3 linked regions of the Oreochromis niloticus genome follow. The protein of the gene in region 1 interacts with the protein of each later gene in a biochemical or structural test. Links are inferred from orthologs where the notes say so. Each region holds a gene or a part of one and is shown in the gene's direction. Other genes may lie near its edges. The genes, in order: ube2m, dcun1d5 and dcun1d4.

What was found.
Region 2: the proteins of ube2m (region 1) and dcun1d5 form a complex in vitro, tested with the Homo sapiens proteins (3 studies listed by BioGRID). The link is inferred for Oreochromis niloticus from reciprocal best matches to the Homo sapiens genes UBE2M and DCUN1D5.
Region 3: the proteins of ube2m (region 1) and dcun1d4 form a complex in vitro, tested with the Homo sapiens proteins (3 studies listed by BioGRID). The link is inferred for Oreochromis niloticus from reciprocal best matches to the Homo sapiens genes UBE2M and DCUN1D4.

The regions. Positions count from the first base shown.
Region 1 is NC_031969.2:34,663,890-34,671,471, reverse strand, and holds the start of ube2m (NEDD8-conjugating enzyme Ubc12), read left to right. Parts: upstream 1-4,486; 5' UTR 4,487-4,656; coding exon 4,657-4,771; intron 4,772-4,777; exon of another isoform or gene 4,778-5,143; intron 5,144-5,218; exon of another isoform or gene 5,219-6,447; intron 6,448-6,518; coding exon 6,519-6,613; intron 6,614-6,935; coding exon 6,936-6,974; intron 6,975-7,582.
Region 2 is NC_031979.2:35,191,920-35,199,181, reverse strand, and holds the start of dcun1d5 (DCN1-like protein 5), read left to right. Parts: upstream 1-4,176; 5' UTR 4,177-4,328; intron 4,329-7,262. UniProt on the Homo sapiens protein: Contributes to the neddylation of all cullins by transferring NEDD8 from N-terminally acetylated NEDD8-conjugating E2s enzyme to different cullin C-terminal domain-RBX complexes which is necessary for the activation of cullin-RING E3 ubiquitin ligases (CRLs).
Region 3 is NC_031986.2:37,250,470-37,257,838, forward strand, and holds the start of dcun1d4 (DCN1-like protein 4), read left to right. Parts: upstream 1-4,335; 5' UTR 4,336-4,459; coding exon 4,460-4,478; intron 4,479-4,484; exon of another isoform or gene 4,485-5,462; intron 5,463-5,771; coding exon 5,772-5,842; intron 5,843-5,939; coding exon 5,940-5,979; intron 5,980-6,195; coding exon 6,196-6,283; intron 6,284-6,418; coding exon 6,419-6,507; intron 6,508-6,616; coding exon 6,617-6,687; intron 6,688-6,958; coding exon 6,959-7,050; intron 7,051-7,224; coding exon 7,225-7,333; intron 7,334-7,369. Other genes in the region: ociad2 (OCIA domain-containing protein 2), read right to left, coding at 68-134, 578-725, 802-849, 949-1,002, 2,161-2,245, 2,340-2,498, 3,554-3,623, 4,161-4,174. UniProt on the Homo sapiens protein: Contributes to the neddylation of all cullins by transferring NEDD8 from N-terminally acetylated NEDD8-conjugating E2s enzyme to different cullin C-terminal domain-RBX complexes which are necessary for the activation of cullin-RING E3 ubiquitin ligases (CRLs).

The DNA.
Region 1 (7,582 bases):
CAGAAGGGAAGTGGCAGACCTCAACAGCCAATCACAGTCGCTCTGTAAGAAGGCGGCCGTCAGGTTACGGAGCCAATTTAACGCAGTTTAAACCTGATGAACACGCCTCCCTCTCCTCCTCCTGACTGATACTGACTATTGATCAGGTTCAGCTGATCGATAACCAGAAGGAGCCATTGGTTGTTGGTTTTTTTTTCCTTTTCTCACGTGGCACAAAAAACATTTTATAAGAATAAAACCAAAACGCCAACATGCAGCTGACATGCTGTTCGCAGCAGCCTCACGGCGCTGCTCGATTAATTAATCGTCACTTATGTGGTTGATGTTAACAACATTTCACTGTGTGGACAGACGCGATTGATCTCTGTACCTTTATTATTTTTAAAGCAACTGTTAAGCTTTACACTTTGTTACAGTGACATTAATTTGATATTTTATTGTATAAACCCAGTCGCACTAAAAGTGGCTGCAGAGCATTAAAACACATATTTGCTCTAACGGATAATTACTTTCAAAAAGCTTCCTCTGTGTAAACGATGATCAGTTCAGGGTCTGGTGCACGCATTTGTGGAGCAGTGTCAGCTGTGCCGAGGTCACTTCCTGTGGACTGGAGTGTGTGTTACAAATAAGCCGTAAACATCTGGCAGTCTCAGGTTATGTTCTCTTCATCCTTGACTTCAAACTGTTCAGTTCGTTGGTAAAAACAATAAAACTTTCTGGAGTCAGAGTTCAAAGTTCACCGCGGGGAGACCAAGAACACGCTCCTCACAACAACTCTAATCAGACACTAGAATCCCCCTCAAAGCTGATTATGAGCGGCCTCGGTATGAGCAGTGAAAGGACTCGACAAAACCTGTTTTATATAAATCTGCTGCACCTGCTTTCCCATCAGGTAAAGGTGAGTGCACAGCAGCTCACCTGCGGACAGTTTATTTTGTTCCAGTGAGACAAGAACTTCCTGGGGTTTGAGGGGCAGAGTGTAAGGCCATAAAGTGCATCTTTGCAGGTTTACAGTTGCATAAATCCAACAGGGACACAGTGTTATTCCAAAAAAGATGCAAAGTAAAAGAACCAAAAACAGCAAGCAGCCCTCTGCAGAGCAGCCACATGCTTAAAGAGTCAACATTAATATTTAAACCTGTTAGGTGGAACTCGACCTACTGACATCACTAAGAGACCGGGTCTGCTTAATTATCAGGTCCAAATCCAGGTGTTTTTAAATCCAGGTGTTTTGGTTGAACAGGCTGCTGAGCCTGCTCTGAACCTTCACTGTGTGTTTCTTTCACGTTACTTAGAATATTTATTGTATTTTCTGGGTATTCTTGCGGCTGCTGTAGTCTCAGAGTGCCTGTCAGTAATCAAGGGAATACTATTCCTGACATTAAAGCATGAAAACGGAGAGGGTGAAGCAATCCTGCTTCCTGTGTTTAGCTAACATCCCAGGATCGTTTTCACCAGCTTCCTCCTTCCAGGCCAGCACGAGCCCACAGAAACACCTGTATTAGAACATCACCTGAAACGCGATTTTCTAATTAAACATGTGACGGAAACAGAGGCTGGCTGCAGCTAACAGCAATAATAATGAAGATGCGCATCTGGCACCGTTTGGAGATAGCCGCTAACAGCTAGCAGCTATCCCGTCACAGTCACCTACAGCCAGCCTGGGCATACCTGCCCCGACCACACACCTGTACATACCGTCTGCCCCGTTAATTACCTAATATCACACGTAGGAGGGCAGCCCCCCTTCCCTTCCCCTCCCCTCCCCTCCCCAGCCTCTCCTAAAACATTAACGTTAGGCGTGCTAACACGCTAGCACGCTAGCAGCCCGTCCGCCCCCTCCAGCAGCTTCCTCTTTCACGCTGTCCCCGCTCCGCAGCTAGCTGCCGGACAGGTGTAGGTGAACAGACCCGACCCTCACGCACCCTTCCCCGCTCACCTCTCTGAATCAGCTCGCATGCTCCTGGGTCGCTCATTAGAATCGGTATCCGCCAACAATCAGCCCACGTTAGCCCGTGCTGAGCGCAGCTAGCCGTCCGCTTCCTTGTTTCTTCGCCCGCCGCTGCTTCATGCGCGTGCCATCCCGCTGGCTGCCGCTGGCTCCGGTTCTCCGGGCTGGCCTGCCTGAAGGACCGCGGTGGTCTAACTGTGTCGATAGAGAACGGATGGATATCGGTGAGGCGGAGGGCGCAGTCGTGCCCATTCACTCCCCTCTGCGTCCGCCTCTCTCTCTGCACTCGGTCCGCCTCGCTCTCCCCCCCGCAGCGCGTTCCGCGTGCTCCGCGGCTCTTCCTCCCGAGGGGCTCCAAAACACACACAACGGCCCGTTCCCGCCGCAGCGCGGCGCTTTCAACGCGTTCCCGGTGATACTCCTCCGCACGAACTAGGCCCGTTCGCCGCCGTAGGCTGGGAAAGCAGCGCCGCGCGCGGCTATTGTTCTGCGACTCTATTGTGTGGCGCGAGGCTGCGGTGCTGCGCGTGATTCGGTTCAGTGTCGTGAATCGGCCGGTGGCTCGCGGGACGTTTAACCCCGCATTGATGACATCATGCAGGTGACCGCAGAGCCCGCGCGCTGCTTCAGCCTCGGACAGAGACGGAAAATAAAATAAATAAATAAATAAATAAACCGCTAAATAAAATATAGGCACAGACGATATACACGCCCCGCCTCTCCGTGCCACGTCACAGTGCGGAGGGCATTGTGGGACTTGTGGTTGTCCCGCTTTCCCCCAAAAAAGCGTCAAGCTAAAATGTTTTTTAGCACACACAAGACATTTGAAATGTAATAGAATATAGAGATCAGTAGAATCCAGAAGAAAATGAAATTAAAGGTAAAAAAGATTAAAAAATGCAGCAAACACATGCACATACATGTTGGTGCAATAAAAATGAAATCAATCAACAACTAAAACATGCTGGTGAATAATTTTACAGCTCATAAAAACCGAGATTTTTATTTTTATAAAGAAACACAACAGCGCTGATTCTTGTGTTCACCACAGGGTTTATTCACAATACCGGTATGTCTTATAAATATTTTATTCCATAAAACACGTTTCATTTTTCGTTCCAGCTTTACATTAGATTTGATTTACTGTGTCATTTTTTCCCAGTGCATGTCTTCTGTTTTTATTATTTACTGCCATAATTTTACATTTGACTGTGGTCACTGTCTGCTGTATGAACAAAGTCATGTGATGTGTGGAGTACTGTTCTATAAAGAGAATGAAGCCCGTGAGTGACCTTCTTCTGTGGATTCAGACACTCGGTTATAAACATTTCCTCAGAGGGCACAGTGGCTCTGTTGAAAGTGGATCTGTGATCTGAGCTCCAGCTCAAACCTGAAGGTTCACGTCTGTGACGACGAGCTCTGCTGATGGTGTTCTGACTGAGTGACAGCCAGCTGGACGTTTCCTGGCATAAAAACGGGATTTATGCTGATGTTTGCTGAAGCTGACCCAACTGTGTTTATTTGGTCCCGAGTTTGTAGAAGTCTGGGTTGGAAGCATAACTCACAGATGCTGGGACTCCTCGCTGTAATAACTGCAGACTACACTGAATCATCACACTGCTGTTTTTTATTTACAGTGTTTTTAGTCTACCTGCACTTTCTTGGTCACATCCACCTGGATCCAAACTGTCAGCAAAAGGTCAATGTTTTAAATTCCACCTTCCCCTGTGCTGCCATATCAACCCCACCTGTACTTACAGGCAGACAGTTATGGGACTCTGATTTAATACGAGCAGACTGCACGAAAAACTAGTTTTATTTTTGCAAGGCTGAATTTCTGCAGACTGCAGCAAAGGTGAGCACAGCCAGCATGAGCCTCACTGACTCACCTCAGGCTGATTCTCAGTTCAGAGACATGAAGTTGACTTTTAGATGAACGTCCTGCAGAGTCTGTCTCGGCATGCTTGGTTCGGCTCTCCAGCCTCAACATGACACTGATGTACACATGCATGGATCAGCAACCACAAGCCAATAACATAACTTGTGATTCTGCATAACGAGTGCTTTTACTTTGTCTGCTTTCAGGACACGTGCCGTCTCCATTCCTGTCCGCCTTGAACAGCTTCAGCTTCGGGTCACGACCCCTACAGCTTCAGAAGGAAGAGGGTAACTGCATGGAGCACCTGTCCTGAGACAGGAAGCCTACACGTCCACATCTCCACCGGGCTGAACTGGAACAGCAGCACAGAGGCCGGAGGTGCTGAGCACGCTCTCCTCCCTCACTGAGGAGACAGCTGTTCATCACAAACACCTTCAAACTCATGTTCAGGTGCTTTTCATCACTTTTGTTGAACCCAGAGTTTTTAAAGCTGGGTTTACCTGCCTGTGGCCCCCTCACTCTCTCCAGCAGCGCCCAGACCATCTCCCGATTGTTTTCTTCTGGCACCAGTGGACTTTCATGCGCTTCAGAGCAACACACACACACACACACACACACACACACACCCTCTGCTCCCCTCCCCTCCCTCCTCCCCCCCGCTAGCCAGCTCGCTGCTAGCTCCGCTGCTAGCTCCTCCTGCCTCCGTGATCAGACGCACCGGCTCCATTCACATCACGGTGCTGTTGGGAAACCACCCCGCTCTCAGACCCTCTCAGACCCGCTGACGGCTCACAGAAGGGACGCCTCGTGTGTCAAATAACTGAAGATGATTAAGCTCTTTTCCCTGAAGCAGCAGAAGAAAGACGAGGAATCTGCTGGAGGAAACAGAACCGGAGCCGGGGGCAAGAAAGCCAGCGCGGCCCAGCTTCGAATACAGAAAGGTAGGCTCTGTTAGCCGAGAGTTACCCACCGGCCACGGGCCGACACCGAACCCACGGGACCCAGGGCTCTCAAACCCAGACCCGGTGTTGCTGTAGCTCACTCGGGCTAACGGCTGGCCGACTAACTGCGGCTGAAGCTGGTGTTAGCTACGGCTGCTAGCCCGGCTGTGCTACATGAAAACAAAACGCAGGCTAAAGGTGTTAGCACGCAGCTAGCAGCAGCTAGCAGCTAACAACACGAACCCGGAACACATCTGCTAACAGCTAACAGCTAACAGCTAACGCCGGACAGCCGTAAACACTGACGGCTAACGGCAGCTAGCCTCTAACTGCTGTGTCAGTTCCGTGGGGTCCACTTCTACTCAACAGCAGGTGAGGTAGGAACACAGGGACTCACTGGAACACCTGAGCACAGCGCCCACCTTTCTGACCCGCTATCCTCCTCAGGTGCAGGTCAACCCGAAGGGCTGCCGGGCGACAGGTGAACGCAGATCAGAGCCCGGCTTAGACTGCAGGGTTAGAACCAGGCTGAACCTGTGTGGTGGATCACAGTGGACTCTGAGGGTCCTGCCTGCCTGTCAGACGCCTTGTGAGTCACCTTGTGTGGGTGACCAATAGGAAAACAGGCTCAGGTCCCTATTCTCAGAGTCCAGCTCACCTTATCAGGATCTGTCTAAATTATCAGCTCTGTCTGTCTACTTTGCAGCATCTGACCTGGACAGGTCTGAATCCCTTCTCAACTTCTAAGTGATCTGCTGGAATGGGCCCGCTGTTTTCCATGGATCTGATTGGCCGGTTTTCGGTGGTTTCACACCTTTTGGTCTCTTATCTGGAGGATAATCGGAGCAGGAGTGACACAGGCCAAAAGGCTGGGCGTTGATGCCCCAGCCCCCGGACACCAACCACCTACTTCTTCTTCTTCTTGCCTCCACCCACCTGATGAATGATTTATGGGGTCGCAGAGATTTGGGGTCCTCAGGGTATCTGTAGGCCCGTGGTTCTGGGTTCCAACCTGTGTTTAGCATCTCTCTGAGACCTGAGCGACCACCTGGGCCCGCTCTGTCCCACCACACGGGATCAGTGCAGTTCTGAATATGGTCCAGATGTTTTGGTGCCTTAAACAACAAAAAGGGATCCAGTGGTTTCAGAGTCACCCCCTAAACCTGCGAGAACATGTTTTTGTTTTTTACATTTGGAAGTTGTTCTTCCACATTGGCAAAAAAGTTTTGACACATAAAAGTTGATTAGATTTGTTTCATAATGGTCCTTTTATTTCTTTACCTCGTGGGTCTAGGCCGTTATTTCTCATTGATGCTCATCTAAGTTGATTAAGGAGGTTTGTGTTCTTTTCTGGAGGTTATTGAGATTTTGGAGATGATGACATTTTTGAAGTCCTAAAGAACACAATATGTGGAGATTTTTAAGAATATTTAAAGAGGTCCAGAGGTTTTAGAAGTCATTAAATGCCAAGGTGAAATGGAGAAATGCTGAAGGAGGTCTTGGAGAAGGTCCCAGTTCTATCTGAAAGTGTTACAGATGTTGTTCTGGACTTTTAAGTCTTTTGGGACAGTTCAGAGTCTCTTGTGTCAGCACTGCTTTTTCACAGGTCCTAGCATACAGACAAGGTATTTAGAGCTCCAGATGTTTTCGTGAGCCTCTGAAAAGTGAAAGAAGAAGAGATGAAGGAGGTCTTTGATTCCCGAGGACGAATCAGAATCAGTAACACCTGCCTGTGTTTGTTTTTCAGACATCAATGAGTTGAACTTACCAAAGACGTGTGAGATCAATTTCCCCGATGATGACGACCTCCTCAACTTCAGACTCATCATTTCACCAGACGAGGTGTGTGTGTGTGTTTTCATTCAGAGACGTGATTGCATAAAAACTTTATTCCTCTCTGACTTTGAGGACAAACACCTGTGAGAGATGCAGGTATGCATCAGTAACACGAGCAGTGCTGTCTGTAAAAGCAGTGAAACACCTCCACCTGTGAGCGCAGGTCCGGTTTCAGACGCTGCTACACCAGAGCCGATTGTTCCCACTCATGTGGCACACAGGTGTATGAAACCTCAGGATGTACAGAGTGAGGATGAGGGGCTGAATCGGGAGATGAAGATGATGCTGAGCTAACGAGTCTGCCTCTGTTTGTCTTTTTGTGTCTCAGGGTTTTTACAAAGGAGGAAAGTTTGTCTTCAGCTTTAAGGTGAGAAACAGCCGTCTCTCTTTCTGCTCCACCCTCGTCTCCACTTCCCTCTGAGCTCTTTAACCTGAAATAATCCTGAAACAGTCTGACCCTCAGCAGCCTCCACTGGTCTTCCAACAGGTCTCACCTGTGTAAAGTCCGGCCCACAGCGCCCTGAGAACATCAATAAGAGGCTCACTAATGTAGCTCCATTAGTTAATCATCACTTTATTTATAAATTTGGCTTCCAATGATGATAAAATCACTTTTTTCTTCCATTTTCTCCACGAGGCTCTTGTTTTCTCTGGTGTTATAAATCAGGTGCCGCCTTTCACTCAGTGTTTAGATGTCCTCATGGTTGAGCTGTAAGAAGTGAAAGTCCTGAGGTTTCTGCAGGTTAGCCCATAAAGGACTAGCAGGTGGATTCCTCTCTTAATCGCTGACAGACTCGTGTGACGTTCCACGGTCCTGCAGGTCTCCCGAGTCCACCTGGTCTTCCTGCTGGCCTGCCTGCAGACTTCCTGCGGTGGCGGCTGCAGGCCGGTAGGAACGCCGGTGGGGGTCAGGAGAGGAGGCTCGTCACTGATGATTTACAGGAAGACAAAGAGATGTTTTGATAAGCGCGTGGC
Region 2 (7,262 bases), on another chromosome or scaffold:
CCATGGATGTGTTGGAGAGTAGCTTGGGGCTGGTATCCTGCCCAAGGATACTTGGTATCTAGACTGGAGCAGCCAGGGAACCAGCAACTTTACAGTTATAAGATGACCTGCTCTACTTCCTGACATAGAAATCTAAATCTTCTAAATTTAGCTCAGGCATTCATGAATCCAGATGATGTTTGTAATCTTCTCACTTGTTCTGAAATTTATAAGTTTTAACTTATAAGCAGAGGTATCTGGAACAACTTCATACCAAGCAGTCAGATGTATTTGTGGCTTCCAGAGGGTTGGGTTACTGTAACTCTGATGTCCTTTCTATTCAGCCCCTCACAGAAAATTGTACAAATCCTTTTTGGTCTTTGTGGGGTTTTTTGTCCTGTTAATTTTTGACATCAGCTTTATTTGTTAATGTTTGGAAAGTTTGCTGTTATAGTACCAACAACAGAAGAGCTCAGTCTGACTCACTCCTTGCTTACTTGACAACTTTGGGTTTGAATTCAAAGAAAGTTAAGGCATCCTTCCCTGTGTGGCCACACTTTGAGAAATTTAGAATTCGTTTTCTAATCACTTTAATGTTTTTTGTTTAATATGTCACTTATGTAGAAGTGAACACCTCCAGGTTAACTGAATTTCCATCCGCTTCAGCTGTGCTTTGTGTTAAGTGCTAGTTTTCAACTATTACCATGTAAACAGACTGAACTCAGAGGGTAAGCATACCTGTTGCCTGTCAGAATACGGGCTGAAGCCGAGCCTCACACATTTGAATTGTTTATACAGGCTGACAAACTTGAATTTCTTCAGAGGTTTTTCAGTTTCACTGCATCATTTCACAAGCTGTCAGTCTTCAATAAAGGGACCCTTTTATGCTTCTCACTGTATGTCATATATGTGTACTGTTAGAAGCTATTTTACTGGCTAAAATGACAGAGTAGTGTCATTTATGACCCCATTATTTAGCTTAAGGTTACTCTCCTGATCTTTTAGGAGACTATAAACTTTGCATCAGTACCAGATATTACAATAGAAACTCATGAAATGGACAGACTTGTTTTAAATGGCTCTGTCTGTGTTTATCGTACCTATACTGTTTCCTTATCTATGACGTATTCTAAGATATGTCTTAGAACTGAAGAAGCTTCTCTGAGGAGAGGTGGAACATCTTCAAGAAACTTAAAGAAATCCAGTTGCTTTTCTTTTGAAGCTCCTTAGAGTGCCATGACCTGGATGACTGGGAACCTACACAGACATTCTAAAATATTCTTAGTCATTTGTTTATTCATTAGTTTTCGATCATTTTTGTGCAAAAAGGAGTCGGCTGGACTCATTACTACATCAGCTGAGCTGTCAGTTTGGGCATTAAATGTCTGTCTCAGGGCTTCTGCAGCAGTAAATCTTTGCATTATAGCTGTGTTAGCCGTGGTTCACTACAAAACATCACAATGATTCATTCCCACTTTCAAGCACAAACGGGGATTAGAAATGGGAATTTACCCGTAATGTCTAAAAACATTAATATATTTCCTCACAACTTTCCATGATCTTTACCACACACATGGGCAAATTATATTACAGAAAACTATGAAAGGTTTTCAAAGAAGGAAACTGACAAATTGTTGGGGAAACATTTTTAAGATTTAAAAAAAACACAGCAGTAAATATAAGTATTTAGCTGAAGTCATAAATGACTCCACTCAGTCGCTTGAGTATGGCCAGAGTTCCAAATAATGGAAGAGTGTGTCTTCCACACTCTGTCTAAATGAGTGTGTCTAAATGTGCTCAGTTTCACACGTTTTTTCCCTACTTTTGGACCTATGATGTCAGTGAGAACTAATTGGCACAGAAGCCCTGCCTACTTGTTCAAGCGGCCAATCAGAAAAAACTGGATGAAAGCAGATTGTTTCAGAGTATGAATTGAAAGACTGAACGAAAATCCAGCGTTAGCTAAATAAGAATGATTTCGATCTTCGAGTCATGCAAAGCTACTCTATCAGAACCCAATCATCAAAATATGGAAATAAGCATAAGTGGACGCCTTTAAACTTCCGTAACTTCCTAAGCTAAAAATCTGTTCAGACTGTGAAATTTAAATAAAGAGAATCCCATCATTTGCAACAGTTTGTACCTTTATTTAAACAAAAACAATACAAAGACAAAATATCAAAGTGTTTTTAATAAAAACCTTAAATTTTATTTCAGCAACATGTTCCAGAAAAGTCAAACCCAACTGCAGAAACATCCCACAGCTCGTTAAATGTATTAATGACATGATTCCTAAAGAAAATGAGGGTTTAATAAGTAAATATGAGGAAGCCTTCACCACTGTGAAAGGCTGTGTGAGCAGAGTTTCAAAGTTTTTCTCAATGTAAAATTTATTTTTCTAACTAAACACTTACAAGGGTGTCACTTCCTGTGTGATCTCATTTTATGCCCCTCCCCCTTTTTAAAGATATATTTTCTGATTTTTGCATTTTACTCTGGTTTGAAACATTTGGATTAACCACAGCTGACATCAAAAGGCTGTGAGTGATTCTTTTCTTTTTCTTTTGGTTGTCTCATGTGAAAGCCCGGCCTGCACTGCACAGAAGTCAGATTTTACTGTAGCCTTGTGTGATGACAACACTTGAACTAAACACAATCAGCCACAGCCTGAAAACCAGCTGAATGTTTGCTATGACATCAAGGAAGGACTTTAAAAGTGTGTATTGGCAATAAAAGAAAAAAAAATGGATGAGAGTGCTTCTTTGTTTGTTTTTGCTTGTTTTAAATATTTTTTAAAGTTGAATAATTTATTTACTGGCAAAATAAAGACAAATGTTCGACAACAGCATTCAGTTTTCCTCCTACTTCCAGTTGCTGTAAAATGTAACAAGTTGGATGCATTTAAATTTATCAAGAAGATAAATCCCAAGAACTTGATGTAGTTTGCAGACTTATTCTGCAGTTAAATTTACTGAATTTCCCGGAGGAACCCACCCGAGGGATAAATAAAGTTTCATCTAATCTAATCTTACTTCATATTACCTTAATTAAGAAAATGGTAAATACACAAATACAATGTCACTGTGAATGACCTAGATTTTTTTTTTTATTTAAGTTTTTCTTTTAAAGAAATCTATGAGAATTTGTGCTGAATATTTACATTTTAAGAGATGGTGTATGGGCCACAATCATGTGCTGCATACACCGCACAGTTACAGGAACACTGGGTTTATTAATGTTCCAACAGCCCTCAGTATAAACATTAACTCTGAGTTAATAAACACTACACAAGTCTCAGGTCAAATGTTCTTTTGCTTACTAAACCTTTAAAAACAAAGACTAGAGAGCAGCAAAGTGTCATATAATGACACCTGTTATATGCATATGTTTCTACTAAACTATATTTTGCATGTAGATTATACTTTTTATCCATAACATTTATTTTTAAACTTGTTATTTTGCAGATAAATTGTGTTATTAAAGGTCAAGCTCTCACTGCAGGATCATCCCTGGATCATCTGCCTCTATCCCGTCCATCCTGCTCACTCCGAACAAACATCATAACATCCTAAACTTCTCTGTCTTTGGCCTCATGTCCTGTCTCCTGCCACTGTCTCCAAACCATACATCACAGCAGGTTATGGAGGGCTTCTCTTTTACTCTTGCTATCACTACCTTTCTGTCATAAATCACATCACCCCTGACACCCGTCTACACCCAGTGCACCTAGCCAGCACCTCCTCTCCACCTCAATGTTTCGTTTTAGTTAACTAGGATAACCTTGCTTGTCGTTAACTCAGAGTGATGGACGAGTTTTTGAACTATGAACAGCTAAAAATAAATAAAAAGTTCAGAGGAAACTCTATGTTAGAAAAATAGCTGACAGAGATTTTACAGTTTAGCATAAATGTTAAAAATATTTTAAACTTTATTACACCCTGCCTCTCGCCCTATGACAGCTGGGATGAATGGATGGATGGATGCATGGACATGAGTATATGTGAGCATGTGAGCCAAAAATAGGGGGACTATTTCTTTAAGAACTAAAACGATATATTCGGCTCTTCGGGGTGTACATTACAACCATCAGATGTTCTCGTTTGGATAACTGTTGTCTAAGTCCATATATCCCTCTTGTAAATGAGGTTAAATGTCATGTTGTATAAACCTCCATTCTTAAAAAAGAGCGTTCGCTCACATTTCTCTGAAGAGGGGAACGCTTGTTTTGTGTTGCACCCCCATAAAGCGGTGGTATCGTCCACTCTCACGGAAACGCCGGCTCCAGCCAAAACTCCGGCAAAAGAGAAGCAGGTGGAACTGAGACAGTAGTGAGAGTGTGACTGAAAGTGGTAAGTGTTTAAAACAGTGCCCTATCGATTACCAGGTGTTGCCCCAGGCACCTGTCTTATATTTGCTTCTAATTATGATGCGAGTGATTTAAAGACTTTTGACGCGTGTTTGGACACATTAGCAGACGTTAGCAGAGCAGCTCTGAAACCCGCGGTGCGCCACTAATGTTAGCTAGCAAACAAAAGAGGTTCACTGTGAGTCAAGACTGACTCTTGGAAGAAAATGAAGGAGATAAATGTGGATTTTGTAATACGAGTCATGTTTTTGTGACATTTAAGTAGCGATAAAATACGACATCCTGGCACGAAGTCTGCTATTAATCATCCTAGCCTGGGTAGCTAACGTTAGCATCAACGGCAGAGACCCGCAGCCGTTTGGATTTTAGCCCAAAGTTTAAAGTTTAACAGTGTCCAGACCCTTAACAGACTTTTTATTCAATATGTACCTGTGTCTTGTGCTTTAGGTGTGTGTGGTGGAGGAATGGTGACATAATCCTGACGTGTGTGTTTCCCACAGAGCTTTTTAAACTGGTTCTGCAGCAGTGCTGTCGTTACCATGTTTATTTTTAACAGTTCAAACGCTGGAAAAAGTTCGCGTTTAATGTCGCAGACACTGCAGCTGCGCGACAGTTACGTTTGGTGGTTTTTGTTGAAATGCAAACGCGACAGCGCCTGTTTTCTTCCGAGCAGTGTCCTCGTTCTTCTGGTGAGCTTTTATATCAAGTCTGAACACGAAAACGGAAATTTAGTGTGATGAGGCAGTCCCTGTTTGCTCCTTCCTTTTAACCAGCTATGCAGGCCGAACCGAACAAAAACAGTGTTTACGAACTGGGCCATTTCAATCTCCAACAATGGCGTCACCATTCATTTTAACAGTACTCAAGTGAATTTTGTGCATTTATGAATCGTACTTGTGACAGTTGCTGCGATGCCACACTCTGCCTCTCCACACATCATCTCCAGGAATCACTTGAATGATCCTAATGGCGAGTAAAGTCACAGAATTCATTGTTGTGTATGTGTCTGGGATATGTCTGCATATGATCATAACTTCCACTGGGTCCTATACTTAAAGGCTGTGGTTCCCCAGTGCTGCCCTGAGGCAAGTCAAGGTGTCCCCTGAGATTTTTGAATCAACGAAACATTGTAACGGCACAAAGTACTAAATGTCATTTCAGTTGACCTCATTGGCCTGATTGATAGTGAGGAGATATAATTGAGCAGCTGGACTTGTGATGTCAGCAGCCTTCAGCCTGAGTTAATCTGTTAATGCTAATATAGTGAGCTAAAGAGGGCCTTGGAAACTAAACATCCTTTTATAGAGAGACTTCACCTGCTTTAAAAGGGTAAAAGAGAGCTGTGTCTGAACCAGAGGCAGCAGGAATCTACACTACATAAACAAAAGTTCTAGGCTGCCCACATATTACACCCACAGGAGCTGCTCTGCCGTAGAAACCCATGCCATGAAGCTCCCAGTGCACAGTTTACATGCTGATCTTAATGTCAGAGGAGGTTTTCAGGTCTGCAGTTACTGAGTCAGCAGAACATATGTGCTTTACATCTCAGCACGCAGCGATCACACTCTGTAACTTTACATGATCTGCCACTTCGTGGATGAGTTATTGATTCCTGAACACGTCCACTTTACAATAATACAGCTGACTGCGGAATATCTAAAAGGGAAGAAATTTCACCCGCTGACCTGTTGCAATAGTGGCATCCTGTTTCAGTAATACACTCAATTTCTTTTAATTCTTTAGAACGACCCATTCTTTCACAAGTCATTCTAAAGGCTGACTGCATGGCTGGGTGCTTGATTTTATACACCTGTGGCTATGGAACTAAAAACACCTGAATTCAAAGACTAAGAGGTGTGGCCCCATATTTTTGACCATATGTATGTGTTTTTGTGTGATAAGAGGATGGATGCAAGTCATAATTTGGTGGTGTTCATTGTATTTCTTAAAATCAGCTAACATTGCAATCAAAAGAAGGGATGATATTTGAAAAGAGAGAGTATGACATGACATTCTGCACATATGAAGACAGCCGAGTCTTAATTTTTGGTTTGCTGTTTGTTTTGCTTTGGGACAAAGGCTTAAAAATCACAGCTCTAAAGGCAGAAATCGGTTCTTTCCTTGAGTTTCTCAACATTCAGTTGACTGTAAGCCCAGCAGTGTAACTGCAATGAAACTTCAATTAACAACGACGCACAGATATGATCAGAATGCCTTGGCTTTGGAAATCTGCTGATACAAAGTACTCCCTTGATGCCAGTGTTAAATAAATTTTCTTCAATCTTCATTTAAATCTTGAAGTAGTGCTTTTTTTGGTTTGTTTGTTTTTCAAAAACAACTTTGTCTAGTGTTGTTATTTTTGATAATTTCATAAATATCTTGAAAATGACTCAAATTCGTATTAGCAGAATGAGAGAACACCACACAAATCCAAATATTTTAGAGACTTCAAGCATTTATCATTCTGAATTAACCTGAGCTGCACTCCTGATACTTCACATTCATAAGATAAGATGAGATGACCTTTATTAGTCCCACAGGTGGGAAATGTGTTTTGTTACAGCAAAAGTGCAAAGTTATGTAGCAGAAATTAGAAAACACTGGAATGCAATAAAATAGAATAATATATACAACATATATACATAGTCACAGTATCAGATATTTACCCTAAAACACAGGGGGTTTTAGAACAGGTTTTTTTGATAATGGAATTTTAAAATGTTAGAAAATCGTGTAAAAGCAGCCTTAGCTTCACTTAACAAACTGAAATGGTATGATGTGTTTGTCTTGGACCGTGACTTCATCGAAAAGAGTAACGACAGCACTAAACTGTTATTTTTGCCTTTTCTAACTAGAAATTATTATTCTGACCGTCTTTTCCTGGTTTACAGAAACTATAAAAACATTTTGGATCTAA
Region 3 (7,369 bases), on another chromosome or scaffold:
TCATCTGAATACATTATTTTTACAGTGATGCACACTGAATGTTACCGTACATCCGTCCTCACAGTCATTAAGCCTGTTCAGCTGGTGCTGCTGGAGCATTTTTCTTACATTCTTCACACACATGGTGGCAGGGTCTGTGAGGATAATATTTGGGTAAGTGTCATGCTGAGGCGTAAGGTTATTGATCATCCAAAGAGAGGAGAAAAAAATAATAACAATGGCTGATAAAAAAAATAAGTATTTGTAACATTTTTAAATAATTATTTTTATGTCATTTATTAAAGGAGGATCAGCACAATGACACAATTTCCTCTGGAATTAATAAAGTAATCTGATTCCGAATGACTTTTGAATGCTTGCAGTGTAACTCTGGTGGTCAATAAACAAGACAGAGGAGCAATTACTGAGAGAATATAAAAAAATAAAATGAAAGTAAAATGAAATAAAAATAATGGACAATCAAATATACAACGAAAAACCACAAAGTTAGTCTTTTTCCGATTATCAACCCTCCTCTTCCCAGAATCTGTAAATATTACCATAACATTATAATATTACACAAACAGAAATTCAGCACCTGCCCTCCCTGTGTCTGTGACCAGGGTGATCTCTCTTTGACCAGGGTCCAATCCCCGGTCCACCCTGAATGCCAAGCTCCTGGAATTTGCTCTGACAAGTGCCCACATAGGATGCTTTCCCCACTGCAAATCCAAGGATCCCTGCAACTGAAGAAGAAAAATTATTTCATTAATCACTGCTGCCACTTACAAACTGAGATCCAAGATACTGAAAGACACAAACCTGCTAGTTTTGGAAAGGGACCAAATCGCTTTGATGATTTCCAAATACCTATGTGGAGGGAAAAAAGTGATAACTATAGAAACATCTGCTTTACTTTGATCTATATCATGCAATTTAAAGTATGGGGTTTGAATGTTAATGCTTTACCTTGGTAGATGAGGCCACCGGTGACAGCCATGCTGCCCAGAGACAATGGAAGCGCTAAAAACAGAAATCAAGTCAAACAGAAGTTGCTCTGAAGCTGATCAAAGTCACAAACTGCTGGACAGTGTATGGGGAAATATTATAATAGAATCAGAGTAAAGTTATTTTAAAAGGCCAGCATTCAAAACAAATACATAATGCATAAAGATAAGTTTTTCTGTCTGTGATTAAATGCCGATATTTCCCATATGAATTAACTTATTCTAGTGGATTCATTTTGCTGTTTTTGCCTATAGTTCAACCTAAATCAACTTTGGAGTAATGAGACATATACCGGAACTCAACCTCACGTCCATCTAATGGGATGGAAAGGACGGATACAGGAAGAAGTGATTGCTTTCATGTTTACATAACTGCTTGACGAGAGAAGATGAGCAGCAGCTGCGTGGTCAGTGGTGAGAAGACGGGCCAAGATGGAGACTAAAGACAACGATGTGTTGCCACATGAAACACCAATAATCTTCAGTTTGGGAATTCTTAGTCTAAAAAAGCCTGACCACAATATTTTCTTTAGCGCATGCTGCTCACAGTAGCTTATACAACTCTTAAGCTTTTGCTGTGATAATTCTTTTCTGACAGTCGCATAAAAGATGTGTGGGTGTGCATAAATGACTGATATATCTTTAAACCTCTTATGGTTTTTTTTCTTCTACTAGTTTTTCCAGATCAGGTGTTTTTTCCCCTTAGTTTTATCTAGAAGCTCACCTCTGGACACTCCCAGCCAAGCTTCACCCAACCTTAACCTTAAGTAAAAGCTCTGATCAAGCAGGGCAGAGTGGTTATAGTATTTAAATGATTTCTTTAAAAGTAATACAAATTGAGTAGAGATATAAATAATCATGATCAAATAAACACATTGTAATCACGACTGAGAGAATGATGAAAGTATAAAATCTTACTAATGAGTCACTTACCATCTTACTGATCTGCCCCCTTTTTTTAAGACCACACACTGAATTCCGCAGTGAAGAATGTAAACGCTCAACGGTAAGCTTGATTGATGACCCCTATCCCCTACTTCTACTACAAAAACCCTGCTTACACATCAAAGAACATTTCCAAGTTTTGTCTCTCACTGGGAGGCATTTCAACAATTTGTTAATGAAAATTTGTGACACACTTGAGAGCATTTACTGAATGTCTGAAAGAGAGTACCTCTGTACCAGAAGCTCTCCTCTTGGCACTCTTTCCAAACTTTTCTCACATCTTCTCTGTGAACATGGGCATCACTCAATGGGCACTATAAGACACAGAACAGAGGTTAGTTATCATATGTGACATATAGCATTGCATCTGGGCTCAAAATGTCTAGTACAAATTTGTTTGCCACTCACTTTCCACCCTCCTTTAATGGGAGCTGAACCTGAACCAGCAGCTGCCGCTTCCTCGGTCGTCACTTTTTGTCCACTTATTTCAGCACTCATGATCTTAGATCCTTCAGTAGTTTGGAGCTCTACTATGCTGCTTTTGAAGCTACGTACACTTCCTCTTGCCTGTGTCAAATGCAACAAGCTGTAATAGAAGTTCCTGGACTAGACTTTTAACTCCGCCTTCCTAACAGAGCTCTGCCCAGTCAGATTTGATTGAGCATGAGGATGACAAGCCATGAGGCAAAGAAAACCCCTAAAAAACATCGACTCTTAACATATAAAACTATGCAGAAAAAGAATTCACTTCTTTAACATAAAACACCAAAACAGTGTAAAAAAAAATGTGTTCCCATTTGCCACATGAAATAAAAAGACATATGTCCTCACCTAAGGTGTTAAAAACAGGTCAGGTTCACCTCTGTATACCAGTTTACACTTCAGTGTTTGACACACCTTTTTTGCCTACAGCCTCGTGTTTGCTCTTTCATATCACTATTTAGTAGACCCACAAGTGTGGGTAAAGGTAACATATTATCTACATGTGTTTAGGCTAAAGATTCAATATATGCAGTAAAACTTCATAACAAGATCACCTATTCTTGGTTATTTCATTGGACACACACCCCTGTAAGCCAAAGGTCAAGGTTTTCTTTACTACCACTAATAAAAATGCAGATATCAGTGATACAGTTTCTCTAATAATGGTATATATCATCTGTACTTAAATACCTTTCAACAGGTCACAGCTTAAGGAGCAAAGGCTCACTTATCCATGAAGCAAAAACATTTCTTTTACTACTTATTTATTAACGTCACTGCTGAGCATTAATTAAGTAGCTTAAATTTTCTATATCCTAACAACTGCAACTGCACAAATTCTACAAAAAATGCTCTGACTTATAGAAAAAAAAATAGTAGCTGTCCACTAGTACAGAACTAATACATAAAATTATTCAAAATAACGTATGAGTAAAAATAATTCATTTAAAACTGATCCAGGCCAATGCATAAGGCATCATATCTAATATGTGATGCATTTCCTACAAATTTCTAAATGTACTTGCCAAATAAATTTAATTAGGTTGTTGTTTTTTTTTTAAAGGGAGCCTACATTCTCCTCTAAAATGTAGTTTAATAGTATAAAAATGAAAACACACATCAAATTCAAAGTAACCTACCTCGAATCCACTAGTAAATGCCCATATACTGTAAACTGGTGCTGGGACTGTCAATGCATAAAGAGTGTAACTGGAAGGCAAAGGAAATGCATACACGACTGTGCAGTGGACAACTCAGTAGGCCATTTTACCCAATTCCACCAGTACAAAATAATATAAATGTAATCATGGCTTAATTGAGTAGGGTGCTGTGGTTTAAATAACCTGGCGAGCTTCTCTATACTCACACGGGGTATAGTTGCTTCGCTAATCATTTAAACAGAGTCATATGAGTAACACCTTAATGTTACTGATATATAAAAAACAACTTTGGGCCCAACAGTGTTGCTACGTTTGCATTCGTTCGTCTTGTACAAAAACTGAGATTTAGAGTCACATGACAAACAGGGAATACTAAATTTGATAGGGTAAGGTAAATGAAGGTAAGTGTTATTTAGGACAGCATCACTGCAAACATTCCGGAAATTTAAGCGCTGTCGTCCTTACCTTGGTAAAGTCAAAACTCACATTACCAAATACACCGCTACCTACTTCCAACAAACGGCGTTGACTTTAAGCGAACCCAAACCGCGATTACACTGGGAAGTCAATTTAGAAGTAAATCTACCAATCAGATTTCATCGTGGGCTGGTTTCAGGTTTGCACGAGGAAATTCTAGTGATTGACGTGCGAATAGCGCGGCCTGTTTTGAGAACTATGACCAATCACATTTTGTTGAGGAAGGAGCTTGTGTCTTTTCCCTCCCTGTCATGACATGACACCTCGACTAGCCAATTGACAGCGAACAAAGGCGGAGGCGAATGAGGCTGACCTTCAATCCACAGCTGCGGGCGTGGCTTACGTTGACAAGGCCCGCCTATTGGCCGGTCTGCGGACTTCCCACAGACAGTTGTATGTTTCATAAAAATGCACTCTGATGCGGCAAGTAAGTAGTAACGTTAGAGAGGTTTTTCTGGGACCATTTGGGACCCCATAGCGCGTGTGGCACAGACGTTAATAGTCTTGCTCTGTTTTGAACAACAGTTTTGTCTCATGGTCGTGTGGCGTTTGATGAGGACGCGTGAATTCTGTGCTATTTGCAGCCCTCTTTGTATTTGCTAGTGCTGTCTTGTGCGACAACAAAGGGAGGATAGCTGGTGTAATTTTAGCTGTTTGGACATGCGGAAGGTTATATTTGACACTGAAGGTTTTGCGAAGTTAATTTTTCGAGTCGCGTTAGCGGTGCTCGGCTGAATGCGGCTGACGTTAGTTAAATTCAGAAGGTTTTCGATGGTTAAACGGCGTGTTGAGCTGTTTATATTCATCTTTATGGGTCACGTACAGCAGGTATCAGCTCACATTTGGCATCCACGTAGGACCATTGGAAATCGGTCAATATTCTGGTCAGCTGCGGACTCTTACAGGGAATGAAAATTGTGACGCAGTTGTGTAAAACAGCTTTCATTGCCTGCTGCAGCACTGCCGCCGGGTTTTGCGCCATCTACACCAGCTGCTGCAAACGCCTGCGCGTTGCTTTTGTGCAAGAACACATATAATGTTGTATATTTTTCAAACAACGTAAAATGCATTCAATCAGTTGGTGTAAATGTTGGGGGTAGAAGGGTCTGAGAGAAGTAGTTGTTTTGCAAATGCATGGGAATTGTAGTTTAGTATCCCAAACAGAGCTTAGCTTCCAATGGCCTGTTTAGAGGAAATGGACTACAACGCCCATACGTCCAAACTCTCCAGATACTTTGTAAACTCTGTGCAAGTTGCGCGTCTGCACTGCTATTTTAGGTATGCAGCTAGTGCTATCTGCTCGGCAGTGTACTGGTTTGTGTGTGGTTTTGGCCTCTGAAAAAATGTTAAAATCATCGGTGTTTGGTGACAGCTTTTAATCGACAGTGCACAGAAGGCTTGACGCGAGAAGGTAGCATGCATGATCGTTCTCACGTCTTTAGAGGAATGCAGAGTCCCTCCCTCATTCGTGTGAAATATTTTCACCAACGTAGATCTTTGAAAACTGGAAATCAAACGATAGTAGTGCATGCTCTGTGAATGTTGTGTGATTCCTGATCACAGATCACCTGAGATTTGAGTCCAGTGTTCTCATTGGGGCTGTGATGATGTCACCTTCTTGTACCCTTGTGCTCATGCCAAGCATGATCAGGAGCATAAAGCTGAGTGTCATGCTTTAGTTTAGTTCTTTTGTGACGTTATATTTATTTTTTGGAAATAGATTTTCAGCTGAATTCCCACTTGACTACACTGGCCAGCATCCATAAGATCCACCACACCTTGCACAGGCTGGTAAATGCATATTAGCAATGTGTTTATGTGTGCTTTATTTTAGCATGCATGTGCCCTGTACATCTGTGTCCTACTCACACACATTTGTTTTGAATAGAACTTGGCAGAAGACGTTGGACAGGACAGCCATCCCTCAGGTAACTATACAGCTGCTCCTTTTTTATGTTTTGTTTTTTGGTTTTTTTTATAGGGAAATAGTGTTTTTATCAGGCCAGATGTACATTAACATATCACTTTCTGAAGTGGACTCTCAGTGCTTTGCTAGTACTCAAATGTTTTGCTATAGAAAGTTGGCGTAATGCATGTCGTTCTTAAAGATTTATGCTTTCATTTTCTTCTGTTTACTTCCCTAGCTTGTTGCTCTAAAGCCATGCCTCCTAGGAAAAAGAGGAGACCCTCTGCTGGAGATGACATGTCAGCCAAGAAAAGTCGCCAGGACAGGTGCGAGATCCCTTTAATTAAACATTCAGTGAACTTGAATGTGTGCAGTACAATGTTTATTTTGCCATTAGTTAACATACAATAAATGGTGTACTACACATGTAGTATGGTTAAAATTTTGTTTTTCGTCTACAGCGTTTTCAGAAAACATGAAACATCCCAAATCCGAGAGGAGGAGACGTTTTCTAGTAAAAGATGCTTGGAGTGGTTCTATGAATATGCAGGTGAGCACTTACTGGACACATTCTTAGTTTAATTGCATTTGACCTCTTCTCAGTGCATACGTGGGAAATTGTTGCTATATGTGGATTGACATTTGTTTATCATAAACAGGCTGTGATGATGTGGTGGGTCCAGAGGGCATGGAAAAATTCTGTGAGGACATCGGAGTGGAGCCGGAGAATGTAAGCGCATATTTAAAATCTTTCATATTTCGACATCTGTTTATCTCTCTGTGACCACACGTTAAACTAGTGATTTTTGGTTTTTTATGACATGCTTTTGGCAGTGGTGACAATTTGCATTTCTGATCATTTCTGATACTTTGTAAAAGTGTATCTTTTAATCTGCACTCTCAATCAGCAGTCCTAGGCCTTCAAGGTCATGTGATATGTAATGGATTGAGTATCTTGTACTTAAGAATATCTGCAACTGTCATTCGTTGCTTGTGCTCAGGTGGTGATGCTGGTTCTTGCTTGGAAGCTGGATGCCCAGAGTATGGGATATTTCACCCTTCAGGAGTGGCTGAGAGGCATGGGCTCATTGCAGTATGTCATTTACTTACTTTGTTGTTTTTTTTGGGGGGGGGGGGGTTATAAAAATTTTTTTAAAATATAATACAGTTTTCAAGATTGCTTATTTAGATTGATGTGTATTTTTAGTGTAACATGCATTAAACTGGATCCTGTAACATACCTAAGCAAGTTTTCTGCTGCCTTCAGGTGTGATTCGACTGAGAGGCTGAGAAACTCACTCGACTACCTGAGATCTGTCCTAAATGACAGCACCAGCTTTAAGCTCATTTATAGATATGCCTTTGATTTTGCTCGGGTGAGTGGAGCAGTCTTTTTTTTTTTTTTTTCTGCA